3 linked regions of the Rattus norvegicus genome follow. The protein of the gene in region 1 interacts with the protein of each later gene in a biochemical or structural test. Links are inferred from orthologs where the notes say so. Each region holds a gene or a part of one and is shown in the gene's direction. Other genes may lie near its edges. The genes, in order: Angpt1, Tek and Tie1.

Region 1 (3,652 bases):
ATTATGTCAAAGGGAGTCTTCAACTGTAGCAGAGATAAAGGGCCTGGTTACTTAACCCAAGCCAAGCCGTTGTTCCCCACATCAGATACATGGTGGTGTCTGATAAACTACCCAACAGTTTACTAATGTGGGAACCCATTTCGTTTCCCCTTTTTGGCTTATCTGTCATCTTAATGATGAAACAGTTGTTTCTGCTTCACCACACTTGGCCATTAGACAGTTTTCTCCTCCACTACCTCTCCAAAAGCCATATTGCTTTATTGTAGTAAAACTTTCTGCCCATTTAGAAAGTTTTCTAGGTGAGGTGCATGAAATTAAAATATGGTTTCTAAATACAAACTACAGGGTTTTCACTTCAGTTGTTTCCTCCTGAAAGGAAGAAAAATCTACAAAGCCTACTATTAGCAAGTAATGCTTTACTTTTGGGGAGGTCCTTTAGAGCTCCAGGCTGAGAGCAGGAGCAGAGGCTTTCTATTTTGTAGGAATGGCTCTCATGTTTGTCCATGTTTTGAGGCTCACCCGGGATCGATGCTCTTTCCCCTGGGGAAGCTGGGGAGTTTTATCCACACAACACTTTCAACAGCATGGAAATATGCGACCTAAGACTTAGCACTTCATCATTCCTGCCCTCTCTGCTCACATTTAATATGATTGCTGACTCTTTGCTTCAATGCTTTACGGCAAAGGGACTTGGGGAGTGGCTGCAGGGACAGCTCTGGCTAGTCTGAACTAAAAACTTCAAGAGAAATCCCAGAGGTTCTCCTTGTCTTTCAAACAATTGCAACAGTTGAAGAGTGCTAACTCCGAGTTTCGGCTCTGTATAACTTGCTATTCCGTGCATGCCTTGAAGAAGGAAAACTTTGGGTTTCTTAGCATGTAGCGCTTGCTCCTGTGAGATGCTGTAAAATCTTTAGCACATCCTAAAAATTTACAGATCTTTCCTGCTACTGTGTAGCTTTCAGTGTCTTGGGAGTAGGGAAGCAAAAATGAGGATTAAAACCCTAGAACCCACATAAACAACTATATGTTGTGGCAAACACTTATAGTTCCAGTACTGGAGGACTGAGACAGGAGGCCAGACTTTCTATCCAATAATGAGCTCTGATTGAGTAAGAGATGCTGTCTCAAAAAGTAAGGTGGGAAGTGACAAAGGGAACATAATAAAGAAAGTCCACAAATGTCAATCTCTGGCCTCCACATGTGTGCAGACTTATACATTAATTCACACCAATGCATACACATACACACTCACAAATACACACACACACACACACACACATACACACACACACACAGAGGGAGTCACTGGAGTACTAAGTGTAATGAATTCTGTATTTTGCCCTAATAATTCTCAGGGGAGTATACATGCAGTAGCATCCAGACAATGTGCAATTAGTTAAAATAAAAATCTAGTCAAAATAGAGAACTTTGAAAATATCTATACTCATATTAAATTTAAATACAAAGCTGTATGTGCGTGTGCTTGTGCATGTACGTGTGTGTGTGTGTGTGTGTGTGTGTGTGTGTGTGTGTGTGTGTGTGTGTGCATGTACATATCTGTAGCAAACTCTAGGCACTCTAGGCATTTGCTCTAACTAACTACTAAGCTGAAACAAAATGGACTGTGATCTGTTAATGTTGCAATAACAAACCTGGCAGATAGGGATTTGACACCAACTCTATCCATCTTTGAGAAGTGATTCTACGGGCAGAAACAATGGAAAAGGTTAGAGGATTATTAGTAGTCACTGAGGAACAGCATATTTTCAAAAAGAAATGGGGAATATTGATTCTTTTCTTATGTTGCTTAATGGGGGAAAGTTAAGTAAACTTATGTTTAATGTTAAAATTGATTTTAACTTGGAAAAGAAATATTTTCCATATTTTATTACCTTTGAAACAGTCAGGACTGCTGTAATTATTATAGTACTTTCTTTGCACTTTTAAATACAGATTAAGTCTTCATTGTAAATGCCCCCAATTAACCATGGTCCATTTCTTTGTTAAACAACCATGTATAATATATATCCTGTGATTACAGGGCCTACTCTTTTAAATGCTTGTATGCATAAGCATGATTACGGAGTTTGTCCAGATGAGAATTTGTGTGAAAAGTTCTCAAGCCCAAGACTCCATCTGGAAGCTGATTCTTTTGTTTTTACCAGCTCTCAGTTATATGGCTGAGAAGCAGCCAAATGTCCCATTGCAATGACCAAGTTTAGATGTTCCTCCTCTGAGGTTCTATAACATTTGCTCCTTTTGCCTTTCTTCCTTTCCTGTAAATGTCAGTGTCCACTGCTCACTGTATGACACTTCTTCATTAGTATTTGAGAATTCTCAAAGGTAGTACCCTTTTCTATTGCTAAGCAGCTCAAACCTGCTTCAGTAAGACAAACGGATAGAAAAGGAGCTAATTTGATCAAGTGCTACCAAGAGTAGCTTTCTGAGTTACTGTCAGAGGCCCCAAATCTATATCAGTAATTTCTCAATTTCTTTCTGGACCATTATCTTCAGTGAGGCATCAGTTTGGGGAGGGTACATTTTTTTCTCCCCTCCGCCCCAAAGTTGACAGTACTTACTTGCATGATTGGAAAACAATAAGGCCCCAGGGGGCTTCAGGTACAATTATGTCAGTTCATGCACTCCCTAGCCCTTGCTCCTCAGCCTTCCGCCTCCAAACCCCAATCTTGGCCAATGAAACAATCTAAGTGATCATGTGGACTGTTTTCTAAGCTCCATTTTTAAAATTAATTAGGAACTCAGTAAGAGAATTGAATCACTTGAAAGAGCGTAGTATAAAAGCATAGGGTAATGAAAAAGGGAAGCTCAATAACGGGAACAGCGAGCACATTACTATTATAAGGGTTGGGATCCCGATATTCAAATTATAGATATTCAAATTATGGAAATATCCAAAGTATGCTTACAATGTCAACTAACGTTTTTAAAACTTTGTCAAAAGAAAACCTTGAATTGAGAATTGTTTTCTGATCAATCTTCCTAATTAGGTGAATTTAGCCCAAGAGTGTCACAACAAACAGGTTTTACTATGTCAAGAATTAGATGTAAACGTCAATGGAGAAAAACACAACAGAAGTGTACTAGAATAAGTAATTACAGTGTAAAAAGCAAGCAAAACTGTATTTGTTATTGTTATTTAAGGAACATGAAAAAGTTCCCTCTGGAGTAACTCTGGAGTAACGAGTGTGTCTCTATTCTTTCCCAGGGTTTTGGGAATCCCTCTGGTGAATATTGGCTTGGGAACGAGTTCATTTTTGCAATAACCAGTCAGAGGCAGTACATGCTGAGGATCGAGCTGATGGACTGGGAAGGGAACCGAGCCTACTCACAGTACGACAGATTCCACATAGGAAACGAGAAGCAGAACTACAGGTAAGTTCCATCCAGTCCTGGGCTCGGCAGTCTTTGGCCTTGCCATAATAGCATGAAATGAAAAGCCAGACGTGACGCAGATGATCCTCTTTACTGAATATTCAAGGTTTCTGTCTAGCCCTGTGATGCTGAGATGGGGAAATCGCTGGAAGGACGTCTCACAGGCTTCGGTGTCGAGTCATAGATCGACACTTAGATGTCGGCTCAGTATTAGAGGATAGTGAGCTGAGCGATGCATGTGTGTCTCTGTTCTGATGGC
Region 2 (3,652 bases), on another chromosome or scaffold:
GATGCTCCATTTTGCTTATATTTTAAGAGCCAATTCTTGTGTTTTTCATTCTCTGTATTTTGTTGTTCTTTGTTTCTATTCGTGGATTTCTCCTCTGATTTTAATGATTTCTTAGCATCTACTGACTTAGGGTCTGGCTTCGTTTTCTAGAACTTTAAGGTGTATCATTAAGGTAGTATCTTGTCTTTTGTGGATTTCTTGTAGGCAAGAAAGAAATGGTTCCTACTTTTTTTAAAAAAATAGTATTTACTAAAAAAAGGACTATGCCTTTTGAACAAGAAATTGAGATCATTAATATTCGAGTTAATATTGAAAGGTGTGTATTGATTCATGCCATTTCATTGAATTTGTAATGTTTGGTAATTTTCCTCTCTTGGTTGACTATTATTTTAGTGTGGATTAAAGTCTTCTCTGTAGCAGTAAATATTAAAAAAAGAATCTCTACCATCCTGCGCTAATGCTGTCTTCCGTGGGCCATATGACATCTGTGGGGTGTTTTTCATCTCAGTCAACAAAGCGTCTCACCTGCTAAGCTCCCAGTCTCCATCCCACACTGCTGACGGCTAGCTACTCTCTGACCTCCACAGCAGCCGCCCTCTTAAAACTCTATCATCTAGTTCCCAAGGCAGATCACCGCCATGCCACTTTCATAAAGAGACTGTCTATCTCATGGCTCTCTTACTTTGGACTCTGCTCATATTCCCAGCATCTGCCCCCTGTGGTTATGGTCATAACTCCCAGTTACCCGTTGAAATCAAAACTCAATAAGCTTGTAATTTAGCACTCAGATTTAGATCTTAAATTCTCAATACACAAAACGTCCACACAAAAAACTCACAACCAATTGATAATGATATAAACTGCCTACCTAGATAAGACAAATTCCTATAAAAATCCATCCCTTAAGAAATAAATATTCATAATTACCCGTGGCCATTTAAGGTCCTTCTTCTCTGCCTCCACATTTGTTCTTCCTTTCTTTTCCTCTCTCCCACCTTACAAAAAACTCTGTCCCGCCTTCCTTTCTCACTGCCCAATCACAGGCCCTGCCTTGTCTTGTGCCAGCCCTCACTTGCATGTGGACATGGACTACACTTGCCCATGGGTGTATGTGCAGCTTTGTTTCCTCTGCAGGATTCCTTGGGTATTCAGGACTCATTCAAGTATTTTCTATAAACCTGACTTAGTGGTTATAAATTCTGTTAGTCTATTTCTCATTGTCAGATGCTTTGGATTTTCTTTGAGGACAGATAGGTTTGTTCAGTGTAGTTTTCTGGGTTGGTAGTTGTTGTCTTTTGGGACCTGAAATACTTCAAGTCCTCTGTACTTTTAAAGTTTCAGTTGAATATCCGCTGTTATCCCAATAGGCCTGTTTTTATATGGGACATGTTTCTCTTTTGCTTTCAACACACTTTGTCCCGTGTATTTAGTGTTCCTAAGTATAACTAGACAATGAGGATTTTTATGGTCGGTCTTTGTGGTACCTAAATGACTCCTGTATCTGGATTGGCATGTCTTTTTCTAGCTCTGGGAATTTTTCTTTTATAATGTTTTATATATGTGCATATATATGTTTTATATGCTCTATGCCTTTAGACAGAAATTCTTGTTCTATGCCTATAACCTATAGGTTTGGCCTTTTCAGAGTGTTTCATGTATTGAAACTCCCAGTTTAGCTCCTTACTAATTTAGTGTTGTCCTAGTTTGGTTATTCCAGTTCCTCCTCCTTGTATTCAGTTTTAGATATTCTGTTCCTGGAGGCTCTTTTCTTGAGCACTGGTCTCAGGATATAGGTGTTTGGAGTCGATCTTATGCTTAGACTCACTGTTTGGCACTGAACTCCAGGTAAGGTCCCATGTTCAGCTTCCTTCTCTGCTCCTTGGTTGATGGAATCTTGCTCCTTGCTATGGCCCAAAGGTCTCGGTGATGGAGGCACTTCCTAGCCAATAAAGATCCAACAGTTTAGCTTACAGAGTACAAACATGTGTAGTGGGGCAAGGCTATGAGGCTCTGCCTGACACTGGGCTTCACTGCGACCTGCCCGATACTAGATAAGGTCTAAGAATTGGAGGTCATCTCCCCTCAGCGGAAGGGTAGCATCTCTTTCCACACTATGTCGCTTGGAGATGGGGGAACTCCAAGTAAGTTTACTTTCTTCCTTCTACAGTATACCTTTTCTTATTTCCATGCTAAAAGTCAACATTTTCAGGTTCCTTTTACTTGATTCCCTCAGCTCTCTGAAGGCATTTTGGCGAGTGAATAGCTCTTTGGCTTTATTTTTTTGGTTCTTTTTTTTTTTTTCAGAGCTGGGGACCGAACCCAGGGCCTTGCGCTTCCTAGGCAAGCGCTCTACCACTGAGCTAAATCCCCAACCCCCCTCTTTGGCTTTATTGTTCTGTGAAGAGACCATTGCTGGAACTTCTAATTCAGCTGTCCTCTTAGTCTTCTACCCATAACTTTTTTGCATTGCCTGCCTCATATTTGCACAAAGGGAACTGGACGTGTGATGTTAAGTATCTGAGGACGTGGACAAAAGGAATAGAGACATATGTGTCTTTAGATCCACGTATCTTTTCCCTTTGCACCATTCCTAACAGCCCCTCAAATAGGCAGGAAGCTACTTTGTCCTTCTAACCTACCACATTAAAAAAGGAAAAAAAATGCTACCCAGGGCAGTTTTAAAAGAACTAAACTCCTTGCTGGTAAGTGTTTATTCAACACTTTCAAACACAAATACAACAGCAGGATCTCGGAGGGCACCAGTCCAATACAAACTTTCAGGGCTGCTACAATAGCTTTGGAAATAAGCCAGTGATTATATTAGCATTGTGCTCAGCTCCTCAGTCTCTCGTAGAAAACTTCCTACTAAACAATGAGCTGGAGTATGTGTCGTGAGCCTTTGTGTGTAAGTACCCCAAGAAATTCTAACTTTGTGTGTGTGTGTTTGACTGACTCTTCTAGCCAAATGACTTCAACCATACAGATCATTTCTCAGTGGCCATATTCACTGTCAACCGGATCTTACCTCCTGACTCAGGAGTTTGGGTCTGCAGTGTGAACACAGTGGCTGGGATGGTGGAAAAGCCTTTCAACATTTCTGTCAAAGGTATGTTTCTTGCACTAGGGCAAGGGCATTTTCTTGAAGCAGTGATGGAGCCTGCTGAGTCATGGCCCCATTTTAAGCCTTCATGTAATTAGAACCCACTGAAGGATTGTGGAAGAGGGCTCTTTTAAGGAATCGTTCCAAAGCAGGGATAGTGGTGGGGAGACAGGATTGAATCGGAACTCTTGAAGAGTTAGCTATGAGATTAAGCAATAGCGCACCCCTAACCCTTAAGAATGATGCTGACTGCTAAAATTGCATTTAGTTCTTCCAGAGCCCCTGCATGCCCCAAATGTTATTGACACTGGACACAACTTTGCTATCATCAACATCAGCTCTGAGCCTTACTTTGGGGATGGACCGATCAAATCCAAGAAGCTCTTCTATAAACCTGTCAATCAGGCTTGGAAATACATTCAAGGTAAGGTTTGGATTCAAAAGGCACCAACTGGAGGTTTAGTACCAGGAAAAAAAAGATGTCCCCTATATACCAAAATCGCCTAGCCATATCAGCCCATGCTAATAGAAGAACAAGAACATTTTGGCACA
Region 3 (3,652 bases), on another chromosome or scaffold:
CCACTCAGAATACGACTTGGTCCACCTCCAAAGACCCCTGCCTTTCCCAGTGGAGTTTGTCCTAGCCTTGCCCAGTGGGAATTAATGGTCCACTTAGTCCCAAGCACCCATTGAGTGGTTCTGACTCCTTCTGACCTCTGGCCGCAGAGCCTTTGCTGCAGCCGTGGGTAGAGAGCTGGAACGTGGAGGGTCCTGACAGGCTACGGGTGAGCTGGTCTCTACCCTCGGTGCCACTGTCTGGGGATGGTTTCCTGCTGCGTCTGTGGGATGGGGCCCGGGGACAGGAGAGGCGGGAGAACATCTCATCCCCCCAGGCCCGCACTGCCCTCCTGACTGGACTCACGCCTGGCACGCACTACCAACTGGATGTGCGGCTGTATCACTGCACCCTCCTGGGCCCTGCCTCACCCTCTGCGCATGTGCACCTGCCCCTCAGCGGTAGGTCCACTGTGGGAATGATGGGTTAGGGATAAGGGGAGGTGGCAAGAGACTGGGTAGATGTGGAGAGAACCCAGGATGAATGGGAAAGATAGGAGATACCAGAGGACACACATCACTTAGAGCATGTGGATCAGGGGCACATGAGGAGATTACGACTCTTGTGAAGAACAGGGCTATGGGGGGTTGGGGAGCATAAGCTACTAAGAGGCCTAGGGAGGCAAGGTGACCAAGGGAAGAGGCAGCTTGGAGGTGAAGGTCATGTGGGGATGAAGATGAGTCCAGCCAGTGGGAAAGAGAGAGAAGGTAGCACAAGGCTCCCATGCTGGGATCCACGAAGCAAACTACATGCTAGAGTGACTGTGACTGACCTCACAGTTCATTCTATCCCTTCCTTCCCCTTCCCATCTCCCCAGGGCCTCCAGCTCCCCGCCACCTCCGTGCCCAGGCCCTCTCAGACTCTGAGATCCGTCTGATGTGGCAGCATCCTGAGGCTCCGCCTGGACCTATATCCAAGTACATTGTGGAGATTCAGGTGGCCGGGGGCTCAGGAGACCCTCAGTGGATGGATGTAGACAAACCCGAGGAGACGAGCACCACCGTCCGTGGTCTCAATGCCAGCACACGCTACCTCTTCCGTGTGCGGGCCAGTGTGCAGGGTCTCGGCGACTGGAGCAACACAGTGGAAGAGACCACGCTGGGTAATGGTGAGAGCATGGGGTCTGTGATCCCTAGGTCCCCCGGGACTGTGCTCTGCATGGGTCCCTCCACTTCACCCCCAAACCTGGAACTAAGGCATCACAAGACTTCTAGAGACATACAAGCCTGACTTTCCCACCTTGAATCCATTCCCCTGCTGAACTCGAGTCATCCTCGAGACCGCCCCATAGCGTGGACCAGGATGTCCAAACTCTCCCTCTGTGGGATCCCACGGTGGCCTCTGGGTTCCCTGACCCGCGCCATCACCACAATCTGTCCCTTCCTGTGTCTAGGGCTGCAGAGTGCGAGCCCAGTCCAAGAGAGCCGGGTGGCTGAAGACGGTCTGGATCAGCAGCTGGTCCTGGCTGTGGTAGGCTCCGTCTCTGCCACCTGCCTCACCATCCTGGCTGCCCTTTTAGCCCTGGTGTGTATCCGAAGAAGCTGCCTACATCGGAGACATACCTTCACCTACCAGTCAGGATCGGTCAGTGTCCCATACCCACTGGGTACACGGTCCCGTCTGTTGTGTGTGTTGGACCCACATACATGCGAGTACATACACGTATGCATGCACATGTCCATGCCAAAAATTTTAAGGTGCATCTAAGTGAGCCTTTAGGATACAAAATAGAACTTTCTTTCCTTTTTTAACTGAGCTCAGCTCTTGAGCCCATCCATATTAATGGTTGGATAATTAAGATTCTCAGTTAAAAAGAAGTCAGCTCTTCCATAGTTCACCAGGTCTCATTCAAGGCTTGGAGAACACCATTTGGAATTATCTTCTACACTTACCCATCCCCTGGGGGTCAGCTTGGATCATGTGGTGATATCCTGGAGCACTACTAGGGCCCATGCTGGCCTGTGTCATCACTGGCCCTCCCTTATGTGGAAGCCAGCCTTTATCTGTGTTCTGAATCTTACTGGCTGTGACTCTCATCCCAGCCTCCGATCTTTTGTTCTTTCTTTTTTGAGACAGGGTCTCTCTATATAGACCAGGCTGGTTATGAGCTCACAGAGATGGCCTGCCTCTGCCTCCTGAGTTCTGGGGTTAAAAGTGTGCGCCACCATGCCCAGCCCCAGACTATACTCCAGGGCCTCTCTGGGAAACTGTTCACCTGGGCTTAGCTGCTCCCCTCAAAGGGCAGCAGTGTGTGGCCACACTGTTCACATAATTACCTTTGACTTCTAAAGTATACAAGGCCTGCAGCCTCACCTGCGTTCCCACTGGAGAGAAGTTCACTCTACAAACTTTTCTGGGTTTTTAGTCCCTTATAGGCCATGCCTCTGGCCCTCAGGCCTGTACAGACATGGGATGGGGAAGTGGTGCTGACACCTCTTCAGAAACCCAGACTCGCCCTATCTTGTCGTGTTCACCTATCCCATGATTCCTGTCTTCTCCTAACTTCCTTCTCTTGTCACTTAGAATCAGGACTCTGGCCTTGGTCCATTCTGCTTGGCTCTTGCTATTTAAAGACACTTAAGAGACATTTGGAGCACCACCCAAAATGTCAGAAAGAAAAGAAGGAAAGAAACAACACTTCTCTCCCTCTCCCTCTCCCTCTCCCTCTCCCTCTCCCTCTCCCTCTCCCTCTCCCTCTCCCTTTCCCTCTCCCTCTCCTTTCCCTCTCCCTCTTCTTCTCCCTCTCCCTCTTCTTCTCCCTCTCCCTCTTCTTCTCCCTCTCCCTCTTCCTCTCCCTCTCCCTCTTCCTCTCCCTCTCCTTTCCCTTTCCTTCTCTCTCTCCCTCTCCTTTCCCTCTCCCTCTCCCTCTCCTTCTCCCTCTCCCTCTTCTTCTCCCCCTCTCTCTCTTGCACTAACTCTCTTGTTTTGAAAGTTCACTGATCAAGGCTGGCATCTGCTGTGTCTTTAAATATCCCATCCAGAGTCCAGAGATTCAACTGGCTTCTTTGTCTGAACTCTGTTGATCTCGCCTCTGAGGTCAGTGCGCACAGAAAGCCATCACCACCATGGGGGGCGGGGAGAGGGTAACACAGCCAGATGCTGAACCGAGGCAGGGAGGAAACGAGCATCTGTTCATTACCAATATCAATTTAGATGTTCCTGCACACAGCTATTCATGCTCATGCGCGTGCCGTGTAGTGGGGCAGAAAGAAGTACCTCCCATGTGTGTATGCATGTGTCCCCATGCTGGCACACCTTCAGCTCTCTTGTGTATGTGTATTTGAATAGATGCTACTGCATGTGATGCAGCCACAGAACATACATGTGTATTCTGTTGTATGCCTCAGCTGCACATGCTCAGAGTGAACCCATGTGATCTGTGTCCCCAACACTTACATGTCATGCTAGTCATCGGCTCACCTGGGGAGTCCACTGCATGGTCCGTCTGGACCTTGCTCTGGGTCCTCAAATTGCAACCCCTTACTCCGCTCAGCTGCTGCCTTTTCCTTCCATCGGCCCTGCCCAGGATGCCCCTGCTCAGTAGAGAGAGCTGGACAGTCCTCTTTGTTATGGTCCTTGAATCCTGGAGGAACAGGGAGCATCCCTGCCTCTGCT

What was found.
Region 2: the proteins of Angpt1 (region 1) and Tek form a complex in vitro, tested with the Homo sapiens proteins (6 studies listed by BioGRID and IntAct, with this or other methods). The link is inferred for Rattus norvegicus from reciprocal best matches to the Homo sapiens genes ANGPT1 and TEK.
Region 3: the proteins of Angpt1 (region 1) and Tie1 interact in a biophysical measurement, tested with the Homo sapiens proteins (2 studies listed by BioGRID and IntAct, with this or other methods). The link is inferred for Rattus norvegicus from reciprocal best matches to the Homo sapiens genes ANGPT1 and TIE1.

Annotation. Positions count from the first base shown.
Region 1 is NC_086025.1:75,462,565-75,466,216, reverse strand, and holds part of Angpt1 (angiopoietin-1 precursor), read left to right. Parts: intron 1-3,226; coding exon 3,227-3,393; intron 3,394-3,652. UniProt on the Homo sapiens protein: Binds and activates TEK/TIE2 receptor by inducing its dimerization and tyrosine phosphorylation.
Region 2 is NC_086023.1:114,788,699-114,792,350, forward strand, and holds part of Tek (angiopoietin-1 receptor), read left to right. Parts: intron 1-2,961; coding exon 2,962-3,106; intron 3,107-3,368; coding exon 3,369-3,524; intron 3,525-3,652. UniProt on the Homo sapiens protein: Tyrosine-protein kinase that acts as a cell-surface receptor for ANGPT1, ANGPT2 and ANGPT4 and regulates angiogenesis, endothelial cell survival, proliferation, migration, adhesion and cell spreading, reorganization of the actin cytoskeleton, but also maintenance of vascular quiescence.
Region 3 is NC_086023.1:137,291,427-137,295,078, reverse strand, and holds part of Tie1 (tyrosine-protein kinase receptor Tie-1 precursor), read left to right. Parts: intron 1-147; coding exon 148-438; intron 439-854; coding exon 855-1,145; intron 1,146-1,430; coding exon 1,431-1,621; intron 1,622-3,652. UniProt on the Homo sapiens protein: Transmembrane tyrosine-protein kinase that may modulate TEK/TIE2 activity and contribute to the regulation of angiogenesis.